Tribolium castaneum: one gene and its partner. The main gene of each other region encodes a partner of the protein of the gene in region 2 in a complex. Links are inferred from orthologs where the notes say so. Each region holds a gene or a part of one and is shown on either strand. Other genes may lie near its edges.

What was found. Proteins that work in one complex are often made in the same cells at the same time.
Region 1: the proteins of prel (region 2) and TP53-regulated inhibitor of apoptosis 1 are in contact, whole or in part, in a crystal structure (PDB 6I3V), measured with the Homo sapiens proteins. The link is inferred for Tribolium castaneum from reciprocal best matches to the Homo sapiens genes PRELID1 and TRIAP1. Residues at the interface, in NP_037369.1 of Homo sapiens: Trp15, Asp16, Phe19, Ala20, Trp23, Gln24, Tyr26, Pro27, Val34, Leu35, Thr36, Glu37, Asp38, Ile39, Val40, His41, Arg42, Val44, Gln48, Lys49, Leu50, Leu51, Ser52, Arg53, Leu55, Thr57, Tyr79, Leu81, Asp83, Ser84; in NP_057483.1 of Homo sapiens: Met1, Asn2, Ser3, Val4, Lys12, Tyr15, Asp16, Phe19, Asn20, Trp22, Phe23, Phe27, Leu28, Gly30, Asp31, Ser32, Phe41, Tyr44, Gln45, Val48, Gln49, Ile52, Ile57, Pro58, Ile59, Leu62, Glu63, Phe64, Met65, Gly66.

The regions. Positions count from the first base shown.
Region 1 is NC_087394.1:7,774,472-7,777,060, reverse strand, and holds TP53-regulated inhibitor of apoptosis 1, read left to right. Parts: upstream 1-1,388; 5' UTR 1,389-1,532; intron 1,533-1,587; 5' UTR 1,588-1,606; coding exon 1,607-1,753; intron 1,754-1,807; coding exon 1,808-1,903; 3' UTR 1,904-2,089; downstream 2,090-2,589. Other genes in the region: uncharacterized protein LOC135266305, read right to left, coding at 1-344. UniProt on the Homo sapiens protein: Involved in the modulation of the mitochondrial apoptotic pathway by ensuring the accumulation of cardiolipin (CL) in mitochondrial membranes.
Region 2 is NC_087397.1:918,468-921,710, forward strand, and holds prel (protein preli-like), read right to left. Parts: upstream 1,800-3,243; 5' UTR 1,558-1,799; coding exon 1,466-1,557; intron 1,419-1,465; coding exon 1,205-1,418; intron 1,154-1,204; coding exon 998-1,153; intron 950-997; coding exon 773-949; 3' UTR 518-772; downstream 1-517. UniProt on the Homo sapiens protein: Involved in the modulation of the mitochondrial apoptotic pathway by ensuring the accumulation of cardiolipin (CL) in mitochondrial membranes.

The DNA.
Region 1 (2,589 bases), on a different chromosome or scaffold from region 2:
ATCCATATAACTGACAACAATTGTTTTTCGACTTGAACAGTACTTCGTCCAGTAGCAGCTTGTCGCATTAAATAGGGGCCAACTGTTTGTAAGAGTTGTTCATAAGCCTCAATGGTTACTCGAAAATGTTGCTGAAATTCTTGCTTGGTATAACCAGAAATTGTTGCTTCAATATAATTCTCAATACGTTGAGGTTTCTTAATTTTCCTACTTTTTATAAGCATCATCGTAACAATATTTTCTTCATCAGTTACATCGCTGTCCTCATCAGAAGAATATGTAACCGGAATGCCAAATAACATTTCCGATGATAATACAACAGGGATAGTAATTATGTCATTCATTGTTACGGTTCGTTTGTTGAATTGGTGGGCTTAAATGTACCTATGCCATAAACGGACCAAAGAGCTGATATTATTTGTCACTTACCTACTTTAAACGACAGGTTATATTTTTATGTCAAACAATTACAAGAGTGTCAACTGTCATGTTGCAGTCTACTTCAACCGTTCATAAACTTCAGAAAGCTCTGCATTCACTCTAGGTGAAAATTGCCTTACTCTGACGTCACAACAACACAAGATACTTTAGTTTATGAACGCACTCCAGGGGCATAGCGGTGACAAACTATCAAATATTTTTTGAGGTTACGAAGTGTTTAAATTATGAGTTGTTACAAAAAATACAGATTCACAAAACAAGAACTAATAAACGCAGAATCAAAAACCTAACGAAACGCAAATCACAAAACACAATAAACGAACAGAAAATAGTTGCGATTAACACCGATAACACTTTCGACAACCATGCGACGACGTCTATAATTTACTGTCAATGTCAGTTTGACAAATTCGTGACACTTGATGGTGTTGTCGAAGTGCATATGTAAATTAATGTTCAAGGATACCACCCTTAGATACCCCTTAGTTGTTTAAATTTGCATTGTTTTTGATAATTTTTTTACAGTTTTGTGTTGGTAATGAAAAAATTAAATTGATGACGCACACGCAAACCGAGCTGACCGCCACTATATAACAACTCTCAGATTTCCATAGTTTTGAAACAGAGCGTAGTCAATTAATTTAATTCGCAATTTGACGATTTTTCGCATTTTTAGTCAAACTTGGCGAAATATAATTGCATTTCTGCTCTATGACTGAACAAAATGCTAAAGATAAGGAAGAATAAGTAGAATTTGCATAATTTAGTGATCCTCATTCAAACAAAAAGTTTCGCAAAAAAGAGCTTACATTTTCGACCCAATTTCAGAATTTTTCGAACAATTTTAACGCAAAGTGCAGAACCTCGGCATGACCTTGGCAAAATTGTAAATTATTAGGAGTTATCACTGTTATCAGTAACTAATAAAATATTTCCATTTTTTAAATTTCCAACGTAACGTAACGAAATAACGTAAAGGTAGTGGTAATGCAAAGGTGAGAGATAAGCGCAACGTCATGGAAGATAACGAGCCTAATCGATGGACATAACCTTAAAATCGGGTGTTTTAAATCCCTCGCGCATAGATAACGGTTTGAATAATCAAAATGGGTCATCGTTTGGAATAAACATGAGTTTTGCTTTCAGTAAATCGTCGAAATTCGCTATGGACAGCATTGGAGAGGCGTGTAACGAACTGAAAAAGGACTACGATGCTTGTTTCAATACCTGGTTTTCTGAGCACTTTCTCAAAGGGCACACCAACGACTCCATGTGTGCCCCGCTCTTTAAAGTGTACCAAGAATGCGTTAAAGTGAGTATTTTTCACTTCCTTGTCATGAATTAAATATCGTGAGTTTGGCTTTAGAGAGCAATGAAGGACCAACAAATTGATTTCCACGAAGTTGAGAAGAACTTACTGGGTACTGAACAGGAGAGGAAACCCCCACAAAAAAATAGCTGACCCTGGTCGTCTTTCGTGTGCTCATGGATGTGTTCAAGCATAATCTCAAACCCAGCCATTGTGAGTAGTCAGAACCATCACCAAGTGCAAGAAATGACTGAAGATCCACAATTTGATGTGTAATTTTATTGCGTTGGCACATAAATGTTAAACGTGGTGTATATTTTAATAAAATTTAGAACGGTAGGTTACTGGTCAAATTGTGTTAGATGTTAGAATGCCTGCGAATTCAAATCATTCCTCACCAAAGATTGATTTAATTAAAGTGGCCAATGAGTTCAAAAGAAAGTTGGCAACGCTGTCACCTATTTCGTTGCCAACTTAATTTGAGTCACAGGTCACTTGGGTTAGGAACTTAAAGCATGGTAGAAATGCAGTTTTAAACAAATTTGTTTTATTTTTGAAATACTAGGTGATACAGTTTGGTATTCGCCCCCTCGTAACATGTTTGATATTATTTCCAATGGGAACCTACATTTTATCATAATCAGGAAGATATATTTTTTATTTTTCGTACATGTATTATTTTTATTTTGAGAAAATAATTTTTGTCAAACGCATTCCACTATCGTCTTTTGTTTTCGACTTATAAACAAAAATTGACATTTTAGCGAAATGTCAAAGACTTCATAAATGCACCACCCTGTTACTTTTACTAAAAATTATATTGTTTAAAAACATGTCAA
Region 2 (3,243 bases):
CTTTTTAGTGATTGTAATGACGGTTCGACATTATCCATTTAATAGCTTGTAAAATTACTGGTTAATTAATTTTCCAATTGAAAATACGTAAGACTGTCCAGTTTGCTCATCTCACAATCGCTGTAAACGATGACAAAATATTTCGTCCTATTTTTTGGTGAGTGATTCTATTTTATTTCTCAATATTTTTGTTTAGCATTTTTCCTAGCCGAGTTTCAAACAATTATTAGCGAGTGTCCCGTTTGTGACGCAAATGATTACAATCCGGTTTGTTCTTCAGGAAAGGCGTTCAAAAGCGAATGCCATCTTTTGTCACTGCATTGTTCAAAACATGTGGGTATGTATTTTGGTCCCTGAACTTTGACCAGGATATTTTAGCTCCGCAAGGAAGGGTTATTTATGCACACAATTTTTCATTTTTAGTTCTGACAAGCCCCCTCTTTGGAAAATGTCTCCAGTTACATAACCCGAAACCAAACGTCCCAAGCCTCCACTTTTGAGGCCAATAAATAAATGATTAAAGCTAACGTTTTATTAATTCCAATTACAACAAATATATTTTCATGATAATTATACAGGAAACAAATCGGTTCTAGTCCCATAAAAACAGTTAAATCGTGCCCTCGTACGTAATAAGTTCTTAGCTAGATGTTTTTTGGAATAAAAAAAGTATCAAAAACTGAATAAAATCAGCAAATGGAATAGTTACACTTACACAACATTGATACAATTTTCTAATAAGTTGACCAGTTTTAATAACATTGTCTTACATTTAGGACTGATTGGGGTGCAAAGACGCGTAAATTGGGGCTGCCTTTGATTTCGCAAGTTCGGAGGCGTTTTTAGCCGCATCTTTCAATTTACTGGTCGCTGTTATCGTGGCATGAGTTGTGGTAACAGTGCTTTGTAGTGGAAACATGCTAGCAAGGACATGGTTGAACCCTCCCACCTATAATTTTTGCTTTATATTTTGTGTGGTTGCGTTGGTGGAACCTACCATTTTGGAGCAATTTTTCTTGAACCTTTCGTACCCAAATGCACAGATTGCTCGGCTAAAACCTCTGACCTGGGAATCAATCCAGGCAGACCTCACAGCTATGGTCTTCCCAGGCTGGTCATCACTTTGGTGGTAGACAACTTTCTCTGTAACGCTCTGGAAAAAAGGGTTTAAGTCCTGTCGCAGGACGTGATCACGGGCAAATACCATGACTTTGGTGTAGCCAAGGTTCCGGGTGTACGTAATAAAGACTTTATTCACTGGGTCAACAATTGATTCTTCGATAATGTGGACATGTTTGGAGGTGATGAACCTCTCTGCCCACTTTGGAATTGGGTTGGTTTTGCTGAGCAACCGTATGGAAAATAAGCGCCCTGAACGCACATCACGACAAACTGTGTCTTCACTCAGCACATGTTTGCTGAAATTTGGCGAATTATGCAAGTTTTGGAAGTAGAGGCGACTCACCTGTTGGGGTTTGGATATCGCTTCCAAAAGCCTTGAGCCACTTGGTCCCAGGTGTAGTTAAAAATCGTGGTTTGCTCAAAAAACCTGGTCATAGTTGTGGAATTTTCAGAATGATTTATGTAACAGTCGGAATGGAAAAGTTAGCGACATTTCATGCAGTTTAGATTTAATACATCGAAAATATTCCCTTCATATTAGTCACTTGCTTATTTAAATAGCCAATGTCACACCGCACTTTACGAACTGTCAATTTTGTGATATAACCTTATAGGGGATTTTGTAAACAAACTGGAAAGTGACAGGAAACGTGACCAAACTCACGCCATTCACTTGTTTGATTGTTGAATGAATACATGGTTTTTGGAGGGGAAATCATTTTTGGAATATTTTCAAAAAACAGAAATTTATGATCACATGTTAGACCACACATTCTTTAACCTGTGAGTTCAAGTACACGGATACAAGGTCCCATGGTGTAATGGTTAGCACTCTGGACTCTGAATCCAGCGATCCGAGTTCAAATCTCGGTGGGACCTGTGTGATTTTTTCCTTTTTTTTTGGTTCAAAACACAATAAAGTCAACTACATGTTCAATATTTTAACTTAGTGCCGGTTAGAGAGGCTTTAAAAACAAAAAATTAAATTAAAATCGATATGACTCCATATACTCTTAAATTTTAAAAAAACATCGCAAGCAATTTAAGATATTTGATAATGTTGTTTATTTTTAAAATCAAATTTTAAATATAGAATTTAGGTCAAAATTGATAAGATAAAAAACAAAGTATTGGCATTTTTTTATTATCCACGGCAACGAATAAATGGGTGTATTTTGAGCAAGCCCGGGTAGCTCAGTCGGTAGAGCATTGGACTTTTAATCCAAGGGTCCAGGGTTCAAGTCCCTGCTCGGGCGGCCAATTTTTTTAATTTTAAATTGTCTAATTTATCTAACAAATTGTAATATTAACAATTTATCACAATAAAGTCGTGACAATGAAGAAGTTTTGTTTATTTTTGTACCTAAGCTCCTCTTTATATCACATTTAAAAAGGATGTTTACTTTCTTAAAAAATTCTTTGATAATAATTAATAAATATAAAGTAATAACATTCATAATGATAGTCACTACAAAACAGGCAAACAGATAAATTATTTCATGTTTTATTGCTGATTGACTATATTTTAAAGAGAACAAACATTCAACAACATATATTTTTGTAATTTGTTTATTCTTACAACAGTAAAAACTCACACTCAAATGCAGAGATAATATTATTTATGAATTTAGTTGGGGCTTTCAGTAACAATTTAATGACTAGAAATAACATAACGGGGACACAATAACCGGAAATTTGTTTGCGATTTCCAACTACTGTAATTTCACAGTTATGATCCTTTAAAGCACCGGAAAGTTTGACTAAGGCCTCTCCACTTATAATAAGCTTCCTCCAACGGTTTTTTGTTTCTTACGTAACATTTTGAGACAAACTGTTGACCAGCGTGTATAATAACTTAGGAGAATCAACTTGACCTAGTTCATTAAGATGGGGTGGAAACAAGAAGAGCCTAAGTTAACCCCTGTGGACTTGAAAGTCTACATTAGTTTAGAGTCAGACATCGCAACCGCAAAAGCAGTCGATAATAAAGCTGAACTAACCAAACGCCACTAATAGATTTTTGGTGGCTTTCTGATTCTTTTTTATCGCTAATGATTTTGAACTTTGCAAAACGCCAAATGTATGGTTTGATCGCGCAGAGGTTTCAGATATTTTTCCCCC